2 linked regions of the Lonchura striata genome follow. The protein of the gene in region 2 interacts with the protein of the main gene of each other region in a pairwise test. Links are inferred from orthologs where the notes say so. Each region holds a gene or a part of one and is shown on either strand. Other genes may lie near its edges.

The links.
Region 1: the proteins of very-long-chain enoyl-CoA reductase (region 2) and HACD2 interact in binary tests that used the Homo sapiens proteins (3 or more experiments, as listed by UniProt). The link is inferred for Lonchura striata from reciprocal best matches to the Homo sapiens genes TECR and HACD2.

The regions. Positions count from the first base shown.
Region 1 is NC_134610.1:10,617,712-10,625,033, reverse strand, and holds the start of HACD2 (very-long-chain (3R)-3-hydroxyacyl-CoA dehydratase 2), read right to left. Parts: upstream 3,019-7,322; 5' UTR 3,007-3,018; coding exon 2,876-3,006; intron 1,252-2,875; exon of another isoform or gene 848-1,251; coding exon of another isoform or gene 792-847; intron 1-791. UniProt on the Homo sapiens protein: Catalyzes the third of the very long-chain fatty acids (VLCFA) elongation four-step cycle (condensation, reduction, dehydration, and reduction).
Region 2 is NC_134611.1:20,996,574-21,003,421, forward strand, and holds the start of very-long-chain enoyl-CoA reductase, read left to right. Parts: upstream 1-3,847; coding exon 3,848-3,928; intron 3,929-4,425; coding exon 4,426-4,477; intron 4,478-4,812; coding exon 4,813-4,857; intron 4,858-6,143; coding exon 6,144-6,247; intron 6,248-6,848. UniProt on the Homo sapiens protein: Involved in both the production of very long-chain fatty acids for sphingolipid synthesis and the degradation of the sphingosine moiety in sphingolipids through the sphingosine 1-phosphate metabolic pathway.

The sequences.
Region 1 (7,322 bases), on a different chromosome or scaffold from region 2:
CCATGGACAATAAAACCTGAGCAAGTACAGCTGAGAACCAACTGCAGTACTGGTTATCCCCTGTTGTACCATGATTGTCCCCTTTCTAAAAAAAATACCCACCCAAAACATGAACCAAATAGTACATGCATGCAGCTCCAGTCAGAGATCCACAGGTACATAAGCTTTTTGTACAGTTTTGCTCTTGTAAAACCCATTGCATGGTTTTTTTATGTAGGAATCCATACACCACGTGCACTACAGCATAAAACTAGAAACAAGATCTATTATTTTTGGAGTAAGTTGTGTTTTCTTTAGCTAAGCCAAGACAAATGCAAAGTAAATACAGTAGCTATGCTGACATGTTTTAACTGTTATTTGATCTATTTTAAATACAGTTGATAGTCAAGGCAACTATGGTTTTAGAACATTTACTTTAGTACCTATTTACTGCACTATTATCTTGATGTGTCCTTCAGTATATAAGCCTTTTGTAAACCAAACCAAACAAACCACTTCCAAAAAACCCCAATGTGCTGTTAGAGCATCACTTCATCACTTGGGCATCTTGAATTTTTTGGTTTTTTTCTTTTCACAGTTCTCTTTCCAAGGCAGTGCAGTTGGAGAAACTAAATCTGAGCACTCTGACTGACACGGGGCCAGTAAATAATCAGTGCCACCAGCTGTGTATCAATCATTAGATCTTTTAATCTGAACAACTGTGATTCTGTCAACCAACTCCAGAAAAACTACCTTTTTAAAAGGCTTCACAATAAAAAGAAAAAAACTGAGCTTTTTTTCCTAAGCTCAACCTTGTACATTGTGGAATTTCAGCAGTGTCCAGGGGAAGTGCCAACTCAACATCCATTTGAAGAGGAATTATCAGTGAGAGCTCTTGGTGACCTACCCCGAAAGAGAAATGAGAGACAACACAGAGATATGACCATGACCACAGAACTCGTATGTAACTCCCCAAATTGCAGAAATCATCTAATCACAACCATCTCCAGAAAAAAGCAGCTCATGTTAGAAAAACATAAATCACATCCAACCCAAGAGTGGAATTTTCTAAGAGGTTTGGTCTAAATCAAGAAAATCGGTAACACTGAGATCAAGATTTATATGACAACAGAAAGCTAAATAGAGGTTTATGTTATTTATTTGAGTTTCCAGCACTCATTTTTTTTTAATTTGTTCTTCTGAAGAAATAGAAATTTCCCATGCTCAGGAGCTTGCACGCCATGACAAAAAGTTCATGACCACGAAGAAAACTTTCCATTTATACCACAGCTTCTCTCTCAGGTTTTTTATGTCTTTTATAAACACAAGCAAATTGCATATGAGCAACAAAATAAGCAGGGAAATGCTTTTGTTTCTTAGAAGAATTCAGAGGTGAACTTGTTAACATGGTGCAGGGACACCACAACAAAACTGAAAAGTTTTCCTGACTGCCTGCAATATGTTGTATTACTCACGTAATTATTTCTGAAACAATGGATTACTTAAATTAAGCTGGTGGGTAATTATCCTTGCCCTCTGAGTGAAATACCCTGCAAATATCCTATGGAGCCATAAAGCAGCTCAGTAACATTTCACAGTAACACAGCTGTTGGGCAATGGGTGTACCAAGCACCTCACAAGAACTGAGCTCTCTCAGCTCCCCTACCTCTGATCCATACAAGTGTAAATATCTTGTAACCTGAAATAGCATCAGCTGCCACCAGCAAAGACAAGAATCTTCATGTCCAACTGCCTTATTGAAGTGAATCATATCTATATTAATTCTACACTAACCTTCCTCCCAAACATGACACTACTCTGTTTACTCGACTCCTCACCTGCCTGGGTTTATCTAGCAGAAAACACGCTCAGTTGGGATCTATTTTAAAGGCTTTTTTTTCTCCCACCCAAATATCCCCAGTCTTTCAAAAGATGGTTTTATTTTTATCCAGATTCCACGGAGATTCGACAGCCACAATTAATTTAAAAAAAGAAAAAAGTCTCCTTTCTCTTGAGAGTTCCCAGTTGCCAATATTTTTAGTTTTGTACCTAAGAACGCAAGCAAGCACCAATTGGCCACAGTCTGCATTTTGCTATGCAGGACGAGGGCAGAGCACCAGGCTGGTCCAGGAGCTCACATATCCCAAAAGCAGCTTCCAACCTCAAGTTACAGAAGTGCTGAAGGGTTTATGGAGAAATCTTGCAGGGCTCAAGATCTTTGCCTTTAACTACTGCTGTGGACAAATTCCCTGTATTTAGGGTCACCTCTCTAGTGAAATCTAGTGACATGGTGATGCAAGGAACCACCTGGATGTGAGAACTGCTGCAGCGCACATTAACGTGTCACTGATGCCGCACGGCAGCTCCCAGCGAGCGCACCGCGCTGCCGTGCGGAGCCCGTCCCGCAGGGCACGGCGGGCAGGCCGAGCTGCGGGGCCTGGCACGGGCTGGGCAGGGCCAGGCTCGGGGGCCCCGGGCACCCAGCCCGCATCACGGGCACGGTGAGAGCCGGGACAGCGGCAAGGCAGCTGAGCACGGACGCGCCGGAGCCGCTCTCCAGCACGAGGAGCAGCGAGCCCGGCTGCGCGCTTCGGCGTTACCCAGAGCGCCAGGCGGGGCCACCGACAGCTCGGGGGCTCGGGGCACAGCCCCGCGGCCGGACCGGAGCCGCAGCCGGGCGGTGCAGCCGCAGCGGCTCGGGGCGGACGGGAGCGCGGGCAGGGCGGCGGAGAGGCCGCTCGCTGCTCTCGGCCCGGCCCCGCTCCCTGCGGCGCGGGGAGCCCGGCCCGGCGCCGCCCTCGCTGCCCCGCCGGACCCACCCGCGGCCGCAGCCCGGCCGAGCGCAGCTCCGCGCCCCGGCCCCGGCGCCCCGCCGGCGGCCCCGCCCGCTCCTTACCCCGCCGTCATCACCACGTTGTAGATAACGAGGTAGCCCGTGGCCAGCGCGCCCGGGCCCTTCCTGCGCCGCGCCTGCTGCCCGCCGTAGCCGTTGTCCGCCCGGCTCCCGCCGCCGCCGGCCGCCGCCATCTCGCGGCTCCCGCGCCCCGCCCGCTGCCGGCGCTCGGCGCGCGCGGGGCGGGACTTGCCGCGGGCCGGCGGGGGCGGCTCCGCGCAGCCGCGGCACCGACCGCGCCCCGCGCCCGCCCCGCGCCGCCCCGCGCCCGCCCCGCGCCCGCCCCGCGCCGCCCCGCGCCCGCCCCGCGCCCGCCCCGCGCCGCCCCGCGCCCGCCGGGGTGTCCGGCTGGGACCCGCGGCCTCAGCGCTCGCCCGCCGCGGCTCGTCCAAAGCGCCCCTCGGCAGGGAGAAACAGGCGGGCCGTGACCTTAGAGACGCTAACAGCGTCAGTTGGTACGCTGTTAACGTCTCTGCGCTACATTGAGGGAATAGCTCGTAGGTTTTCATCACTTTTATAATATAGTTCAGAGGAGAGAAGGCTGAGAGGCGATGTCCATTAATGCGCATAAATGTCTTAAAGGCGGGTGGCGAGGATGGCGCCAGACTTTTCGGTGGTGCCCGGCCACAGGACAGGGAGCAATGGCCATAAACTAGCACAAGTTTCACCTCGGCGTGAGGAAGAGCTTCTTTACACTGAGGGTGGCAGAGCACTGAACAGGCTGCCCAGGGAAGTCCTGGGCTCTCCCTCTCTGGAGACATTCCAAACCCAGCTAGACACGTTCCTGTGTCACCTGCTCAGGCGATCCTGCCTTGACAAGGGGTTGGGCTGGATCATCTCCAGAGTCTCTTCCCACCCTAACAATTCGGTGATGCTGCATGAATGAGAAGTTGTAACTCATTTCCTGCCGAAGATCCATACAAGTGCAAAAAGCCTGGAAAGCATTACTTTCCCAGAAACAAACATTCTTGTCAGGCCTTTCTGAACAGCCATAAAAAGAATTTTTATTTTTTCTCTCCTACAGAAATTGTAAACACGTCGTGGAGTTACTTCTCCACTCCAGTAAACATCTCTCGGTTTATTTCCCATGCATGTCGTGGTGCAGTCCCTTTATGAGCAATGCAGAGTAACAACGTAAGCCTCACTCCCCATCTCAGAAAATTCTGCTTCCATGTGAGTATCTTTGTGACTCAAAAATTCATGTGCATGTATCTTGCAGACAATAGGTCTCAAAAGGCAAAGATGATTTATGAGAATTCCATTTCCAAACAGCTATGTTTTAGTGCAATATTTCAGTAAATGTACCAAGAAAATTTCGATAAACAAATCATCCATTATTCATGTATGCAAGTAGAAAAAAAACCAACAAAACAAGGTCTCTGTTTGCAAAGTCTGATAGTCACTGCAGAGGAGGGGGGTGTGCAGTCCAGTGTTATCTTCCTTGTCAGCAAAGGGAAGCAGAAACCCAGTGACTGCATGCCACACATGCAATTAACAAAGGTCTCCTCATCAAAGACAAATGTGCACAGGATGCTTGGGAGGTTGGACAGGATGGTCATTAAGTAAATTATGTTTCTGCAAATCCAGAAACCCAACTAATGTAAAACAGCAGCCAGCCCCAAATTCTCCACTGTCTCTTGAGAAGACTGAATGTCATACAAAAGAAATACAATAATTAAGTGGTCCACTTCAGGCAGTACCAGTGTCTTGTATAACCTCTGCCACTGGGGTTTCAGCCCTGTGGCACCCCAAGAGTGGATTTCTGGAAACATGATACAAGCAAGGCAAGGTTTATAGAAAGACGTAATGCCTTTTATTAAACCATGGCTGGCAAAATGAGACAGGGTTTCAAGTACATAAAATTTCTTTCTTCAGTGAAAATAGAATTCTATTCTTCAAACAAAGCAAAAAAAATCAAGGTCAAATACAGCTTGCAGTCAATTGCTCAGAGCTGAATCAGATGCATGTCACATAATTTTGGAAGTAGAGGTCATTGTTTCCTGCAGACTAGAATGGATGTTAATAGGAAGCTAGAGGAAGATGGTAAACTCCTTGGAATATCCTTGGGGCAAAAGAAAAATAGGCAGTTTATAGCCTGTGGAACACAAAAGGGAAGGAGGAGAGGGAAGGGAAGATCTGTGCAAGAGCAGCAATTCTGAGTCAGTGGGCTTTGATACAGAGCTTGCTGTGCCCGCAGAGCAGCCCAGCAGAGCCAGACCTTTTCCTGCTTCAGGCATGTGCCCACCTGCAGCAGGAAACCAGCAGTCACTGAACAAAGCCAGGTACATTCACAAGACAGTGGGGCACACCTTGCAAAGATGGCTTTTCGAAGGGCTGAGGATTTGCTCAAGAAGCACGTTGCTACAAGCAGGGTGCTTGCACAATCTTTGCTTTAAGGAGAGTCTGTGTGGTCCTGCATGGCTTGTGGTGATGTGGGCTGCATGTTGGCAGAAGTCTGAATAAAGGCAGCACAAGCAGATTTGTCCTTATCTCTGTCTTTACAGTTTTTAGAAACATTGGTGTAAGTCCGTATCTCCATTGAGGCTTCCCTGATTTTTTTCTCTCCTCCTCCCACAGACTTTCAGAACTCTATGTTTCCCCACCATGTGGGAATTCCCAACTCTGAAACAAACCCAGAGCTGCCCTGGTGCCCCATCCATGTTCCCATGGAGGCCTGTGGTGACGCTGGAGCCGTGGCAGGGCACGAGGCCACGAGTGCCAGCCCCAGGCTGCAGCTGGTGGCAGCGGGGCAGAGCAGCTCTGCAGAGCACCAGCTGGGCAGGGAAGGGCAGCAGCACCACAGACATCAGGGAGGCTCCACTGTTGCCACCTCAGGGGTTTGTGTGGCCAGCAGCTCCAGCAGCTCCCAGGGGCAGGAGGAGAGGCTTGGCCAAGGTGAACGCGGGGACGCTGCAATAGAGCATACGAGGAGTGTGCTTTGTGGTAGTATTTATTTAGGAACCGTGAGTAACTACAGCCGTAGCGGTCTCATCTTTGCAATTCTGATGGTTTAACAAACAGGGAGAACATTAGCATATTTTTATTAAGGTACAAAATACACCCCGTTGTTGCCTAAAACATTAAAAAAAAAAAAGTGAGGAAAGCTCTGTATGCTCTAAATCAGATTCAAAACCTTTCTGTATAAGGAATTGTGGCAATACTGTGTTTAGTATAACAAGAGGTTTGTATCAATCGAAAAGACATGCTGGCAATCTGAATTTAGCAACAAAGAGTAAAGCAGTTACAAACCGTTGTGTCACTCACATTAGCTGAGCTTTGAATGTAGAAGAGCAAATCATATGAAACACATACACAACTAGGTAATATCAAACAACCTAAGGCTGATAATGTACACACCTGTATTAAAGTACACTGACTACTTAATGGTGAGGATTTAAGGTAATGTCTTTTTTTAAAAGAGGTAACCTTTGATATGCAAATGGTTGCACTTTACACACAAAAAGTGGAAAAGAGAAAGAATCACTTTTGGAATGATACATAGATATAAGACACACTGGTTTTAGATTATGCATAACCACCTTGCAGCCTCTGATATTACCTCTGAACAAGACGAAAAACTTAAAAAGTGCCAATACTGTGAAAGGAAAGCAAAGTTACTAAGTCTGAGTGTGTTAACCATTTCTGAGAAAAAAATGGGGATTGGATTTTTTTTGTTTTGTTTTTCTGCGTTTTTAAAAAACGCAACAGCCTTACTGGTGCAGGTTCAAGACAAAAACAAGACAGTCAAGCTCATAAGGTAGAAATAGGTCCTATATAGGTTAAGATTCTTTGGAAATTGCTAAGAATAGAGGAGTTTGTAATCCAGGCTACTATCTTTTTGGCTACTCAAAAAATCCGTGGGAGTTTCCAGCTTATCATCAGTTGAAATCTGTTTTGCAATTGCCAAATAAATGCAAGTAAAACTTCAACTAACCTGGGATTCCATTCACAGACATGCACAGAGAAATCATTGATTGTGCAATAACCTGTTTTTTCATAGCAGCATATATACGAATCATAAGTCTTTATTAGACTGACTAGAAACAGAAAATATTCTCAGTCTTTGTGTTTTCTGTGTGTTTCTTAAGTAGGCAGCTGCAACTGCACTGAAGTGACAAGGCTCCATAAGGGAAAGGTGACAAAGTGGGATCAGCTGGCTAAAAGCAAGATCAGGAGTATCTCAGGAAACCACCTGGATGTTTAATGCTTGCCAGAAATACAAGGACACTAACAGCTCACCTCAGTCAGAGGCAGTGAAAAATGTTTGAAGTTTGGTCTGTGAGACTCTGCTTAAAGCAAACAAGAAAGGATCCATGCCAGCATACTAGTCACAATGCTGGCTGTGTCAAACCTTCCCTTACAGAAGATACAGCTCAGCCTATTCCTCAGGACTGGAGAGATTCACTGCATGTCTGGCCAACAATGCCTTTAAAGTCGATCTCAGGGAGCC
Region 2 (6,848 bases):
CCCTCAGTCACTACATTCTTGCCCTGTTTTATTACTTTTTCTAAATCACATGCTGCTGGCTGTTTCAGAAACTAGTTCTAGATGGATCCTTAGACCCATCCTCTACAACAGTTTGTACCTTTTGGTGCAAGAGAAGCTTCAGACTGATAGTCAATTGTAAAGCAGTAGTACAAACAGAATTTTCAGTCTAAGTACACTTACAGCAATCTCCCTTTGGCTTAACTCTTGACTTGAAAAAACTATTCTTGATATGCCCTAGTGTGAGATCACACTAAGGCATGCTTACTCCCTTCAGAAACAATAAAAGAAAAGTCAAAGGAGATAGAGAAAATGAATAATTCTATAGGAAAAATGCTGAGAAAGGTTCAGTTTGCCACAGTTTGGACTGTGGCAACCACTGGATTAATTTTTTAGAGTTAAATTCAAATAAACTGATTTATGTAAGCATTCAACAGTTCAGGGAGAATTCATTCTGCATTGCTCTTTCTCAGACTGGTTGGTTCCTATACTGTGAAATAAACTTTTTTTTTTTTTTTTTGAAAATCTGAGTAATTTAAAAATAAATCAATACAATATATGCTTATGTCAGTGCTTATAAAGTCTCACTCAGGTTTACTCAATTTACTGATTACAAATGGTTTCAAATTAAACTTCTAAGATGCACAGACATGATAAATGTGTCAGTATTTCCATAATAGTTATCACATTATTTTTGAAGATCTGCTGATCCTTTAGCACTTTAGCTATAGCTAAAGCAGGAATTCAAGTGACTATGTTTTTGTAATCCTATTACAGAGACACTGCATCTTAAAAACTTTTTAAACACTTTGCTCAGCTGTTTTCCCCTTATGAATACTTTTATTTTAAGTTTTTATTTTCCAGATAAAAATTTAACAGCTGAATAGAATTTTCTCTGCTTATATTGTGTATTGATTATTGCTTGCCCCCAACTTGTCTGTGATCTAAACATTAATAATCAAGATTTTTTCTTTTACTAATTACACTATCAATCTTCAATCCATATGCAATTGAAGAAATATGTCTTCTAAACATCAAATATTTGTAGTCACTTATAAAAGAGTTTTTAATGTCTTCTAAAAATCTGCCTATTGATTAAGTTCTACTCTAAGTAGTCTCAGAGAAGCTGTATTTTAAAATGTCTTTAAAAATTCACCAAATAAATGGACTGTCTTACTGCACTAATGCAGGCCAACAGTTGGTGTCCTATTGTGCTAAATGCTTTGAAAACACAATGAAATTAAAGTTCTCTGAGCCAAAGGATTTATGTTTAGAAGAGATGATACCCATCAGTAAGTGTTCCAAGAACAGATTGCCGGGTGTCTAAAAACTGTTGCCAGCCAATGCATTAACTGCCTTGGTGCTGTGCCTCAAGGCTGGAAACACTGTGTTCAGTGCTAGGCTGCTTCATGGGATTGGCCAGGATGTTCAGGAACTACCATTTCTTGCTTTGGATCAGGCTTTTCTGTTCCTTGTGCAGGGAACACCTACACTGGGGGATGTTCTGATAAATCTAAGAGGCGTGATAGAGGAAACAGTCACCTTGCTTTCACTCTGATGCTGCACAATTTGCTGTGCACTGGAGTGGAACTGAAAGCTGTTCCAGCATCCATCTTTCTGAAAAGGGAAAGAACATTTGATATTTGCTTAGATCTTGAAAGTAAATTAAATGTTTGAAGAGAAAGAAAAAAAAAAGACTCATTGAGCAATTTAGGTTGCAGGAGCCTTGTGGAAATCATGAAGTCAAACTCCTGCTCAAAGCAGATATATGCAGATTAAATGGCATTGGATCCTGTCCAGTCTAGCTTTAAATGTCTCCAAGAATGGAGATTCCCCATCCTCTCTAAGCAACTTCTAATATTTGGCCTATCTTGTGATGAAAAAAATTCCTTGTGTCTGGATTTTCTCCTATTGCATCCAGATACATTCCCTGTCACCATGATCTCTGTAAGAATCTGGATCCATCATCTCTGTAAGCTTCCTTTAGGTATTTGCATGGACCAGTATAGGCAAGTACGACAGTTTGGCATTTGAAAGCATTGTGCTGGAACAGAACCAAATAACAGTGAAATCAAGCTTTATTTGTTTGTTTCCCACACTGATTCTAAAGGCTCACAGAGATTTCTCTACAGCCACTTGCATGAAAACCACAGAGCAAAAGAAAAACTCTGTAATTTTCAGTCTAGTCTTGTGCATAGCAAGAATAACCCAACTAAAATACCTTAGGTGGCAGAAAGATATTTAAACCACTGTAATTGACCTGGAGAATATCGCTCTAATACAACCACTGGGGGCCATAAATTAAAACTGCCCCTGGGAGATTCTGATAAAAAAATATATATATTTGGGTTGGGTATGGGATGGGAAGGACACTGCTAAAAGTGTAGGCACTGCTGCAGTCTGCAAGGCAGCTCAATGGTATTTGTTGACAAAAGAGCCTTGAGATACACGCAAGGTTTCAATGGTCCTTGTAGAAACTTGGCATCAGAAGGGATAAAAAGTGGTGTACAGCCTCCTCTCTGCCCTGTACTTGTTCTGTGGACTGCAAGTGTCAGAATGATGTCTTTCAAGAATAGTCTTCTGGGAAAGGAATCCACTTCATTTGCTTTCCCATGGAGATTTCACACAAACAGACATTAAAATTGGAAAAGTGTATTATTTTAAATATAAAAAACCAAGGGAAAACAAATCCTAACAATCCATCACACACTTGTTACATATCACAAAAGAGGAACGGCACTTCTCTCCCGCAATGTCCCAGTTAGAGCTTACAATGCACAGGCAGAAAATACCACAGCATTAGTGTTCCTTGTGGAGATCAGATTTGATAGGTGTGACTGGAGAAGAAGAACCCTTTGGGACAAGTGAAACAAGGAAATAAGATACTCCAACCAAATGAGCTCTTCAAAGCAACCCTCTGAGAAAGATACTGGACTGTGACTCCTATTTTTAGTGAGGAATCATATTTAAAGTCTAATGTTAATCTATTCTCTTGGCCAGTTAATACCAAACATAATTAATGCTAGATGTTTATATAAAAATCCCAACAACTGCAATGAGGTTTAGGGAGCTGCTGCAACTGGGCTTTGAAATGTCTGGGGTCTTTTCCCTTGGCTGTTGATCAAAATCATAATATTTTGCCAAACTGTCATTTGATTGTGGAAATAAACTGCTCTTTCCTTTTCACAGCTGTAGCTAAACCTCTGCTTGGAATATAAAATGCTAATATGTAATTAATTTAACAAGTGATTGAAGAGGCAGGAGTAACACTATTCCTATAACAAATGTTTAAGTGTTTTTGAAGCCCAGATATTTAGCTGCATTTGTTCATTATATCCACCAATATTTTCCACTCTCCTTGCAATTAAAATATTCTGGAAACAATACACAATAATCTTCAAGCTATATGTACTGAGAATATTTGCTTATATGCATATATATACACATTTAAAATTTTTCTTAAACTCTTCATAATGTTATGAATCATAAAAGTACTCTTCCTTAGTGAATCCTGTGAAACTTTTCTACCCCTTACTTGTTCCACTTGCTCTAGCATAAAAAAATAGCCCAAATCACATTTTTGATCAAAAACTTAGCTACTTCTGCTACTGAATATATCCAAGAAAGCAATTCATTTGGCTTTTTTTTTTTCCAAGTTGAGTGTTTTTGGAAACTGGTGATTGAAGCTGTCTCTTGAGAACATTAAGAAGGTTTTTAACTCAATTCACAGATCAGAGAAAAACCATGTCCCACTCTGAGAGTCACATTTATTATGAATGTGGGAATCAGTTAAGAGTTTACATATTATTTAAATATTATTTAGCTAATAATGATTAATTATCATTTTATGTCCTCTCAGGTGGAAATCCTTGATTGGGAGACAAAGAAACAGCTATGCTTCCTAGATAAGGTAAAACAAAAATCTGCTTAAAAGACTAGGTGACTTTTTTAGAAATTACTAACTTTTCTTAAGTAAAATTTGGTGTTTATGAAGGGTATTTCATCTACTGGTAGCCATTCCTTGGCCACTTGCAATGATTATGCAAACTTCATACTTACTACAGTGTATTTCAACTCTTTTCCAGAAGGAGCTTTTAGGCAAAAAGGACAACTTCAGTTGCTTTACTAAGAGGGTGCAAGTTGTGTGGTACTCAGAAGCCATCAAATTGTCTCTGCTGTAGTAGTAGTAACTCCTGATCACTGCTAGAGAAGCTGCCTCTGAAACAGGTGTCAAAAATTGTCCTGCCTTTTTCCTGTCAGTTCTTTGAATCCTTTATGCCAAGGCTAGACATCTGTAAGAAATAGTTACATTGTCTAAATCACATTTCTATTTGGCTCAATAGTCTTACACCTAGTAGTTGTCTTTCAAAACTTACATCTTATATTTACAATATTTTTGTTGCCTAGGTGGAACCAAATGCTACAATTAGAGAGATCAGATTGATGTTCCATAAATTATGTGAGTATAACTTCTGCAGCAGCTCACATCCTATCAGAATATCCAGTACATAAATAGGAAAAAACTACATAATTTGAAACTTAATATGCTCACACATAATGCTGATAACCTGCACATGAATGTGATCACAGTGAGATTTCAGTAAAATTATTTTATCCTATCCTGATACAGCTCTGCATTTTTTCTGCTGCGTAATTATCACCTATATTAGTGTTTAATAAATATTTATAAAAACCTTTGAACAAAGGTTTTTTTCTTGTTGTATTGGGTTCATTGTAGTAGTGGGTGATGTAAACTGAACGTTGTATATCACACAACTCTGTATATCCTTACAGATCCTCGGTGGTACCCAGCAAGGCAGTCAATAAAACTTGATCCAAGTAAGTACTTGTGAGGTCTGGAGTAACTAAACTGAGCAGGGCCCTGGCATGAAAGGTGTACTTAAGGGTATTGGCACTTGAGAATCTGTTTCCAGCTGTGCTAATTAGCACTGTGAAGGCTGAAGAGAATCCAGAACAAATACAATTCTTTGGAAGGAAATACAGTTACACCCTGGTGCCTGGTAATTAACTCAGGACTTTGCACCTTGTTCCAATGCACTTTCTTAACTACTGAGCACTGTTGCTTTTCAGAGAGACTGCATAGGATCTAGATACTCACTGCCCTTAGCTGCAGTCAAATGATAACCATGATGCTGCTCAGCTGGGAGTACCAAAAGGGGTTTTAAGTTTGAGCTATCAATGCACATAATCCTGTTCTCAGGCAGGAATTACAGGGCTTTTGATGGAAGCTAATGCAGGAGACATTGCTGTGGATGTAGCAATTGCTGACAAAGCTGATGACAGCTGTCTGACTTCATTAATACACTTGTAGGTATTGCTACTAGAAGCCTCTTATGTGGCCTGAGTCCACAAAAGAAAGTCTAATTGCCAAACTGTGTTAATTAATTTTAGCTAAAATGTAACACTTTCTTCCTTTGCTTTCATTAAGGATAAGTTTATTTAAACAATCCCTTAAAAGTATGCTGGTGAAGATTTGCTCATTGTGTAAAATCTGGACATGGAAAATAGGTGTATGATTATTTGTTTCCTTCTTTGAAGGTCTCTCTTATCAGATTCCTCTAATAATTTATGTAGTGAGACTTGCCATGAGAAAATGCTGGCCTTCTGGAGATTCCTCCAAATCTAGGCATTAAAAGCTCAAGTACAGTGGAATCACCTCCTAGCTGGTTGTTTTGGAAAAGAAGGCATGAAAATTTCTATAGGAGAGTTTTCCAAACACATCTTCTGTTTGTCTGATGATGAGCAATGAGAAGAGCAGTAGAGAGAGTTGCAGCTGACTAGGAGGTCAGTGAACTGTGATAAAGGGCATTGCCCCATCAACAAATTCTGCTGTTGGCAGTGATGAAGAAATTCTACTAGACTAGGCAGGCACATAGGACTGAGAAGTCTTTTTAACTGTTTTGGTGTGAACAGAGGATCCAGGGTTATATGTGATTACAGGGATAAATAAAAAATAAGTGTAAATATTCTTGGTCTTTTTAATGCGATTCCACTAAACCCACATCACATCAAGGCCTCTCATAGATAAAGCACCATATAAAGCTAGTATGCTTCCAAAGTGGACTTCAATGTCACTAAGATGTAATTACTTCTTTCCTTCTCAGAAGGAAAGTCCCTGAGGGATGAAGAAATCCTGCAGCACCTCCCTGTTGGCACAACAGCTACCTTATACTTTAAAGATTTAGGGCCACAGATAGGATGGACTACGGTGAGCTCTGCTTCAAGTCTGAGCCATTTTAATGGCTAGTTTTCCACAGTTAATCCTTACATCACTTTTTGTTTCTCTCCAATATTTCTGCATGATGTTTGCTCTGATAGTGGATGCAGGCAATGAATCCTCATTGCTTCAGTTCATTTAATCAGGGAAAGCAGTAACAGATTGAATGCCTATTTAGTTCCCTGGGAGAGCAGCATTGGAAAACCTGCTTCAGGGTAGGTTGGCTCTACAGAACTAAAATGCAGGTTGTCAAATGGATGTCTACTGCAAAATCATTAGGAACTAGGTATGTAAATGCTTTTGGCAATCTGCTCCACAGGACCTGTGTAACTCTTGACAAAATTAGGATTATACTCCAATGAGCTTGTCCTGCTAAGAGGCATGGGAGCAACTTCACATGTCAGTACTTGAAATGACTTCAGCAAGAAAATGCATAAAATTATGATTACTTGCTGTCTGCATGTGACTGTGTCCCAGGATGCCAGTGACAGGCTAATGGCAGCTAATAATTTCTGCAATATTAGCAGCTATCCACATAGACCTTGCATATTTACTGTCTTAGCTCAAATGCAAATTATATCACAACTCACCT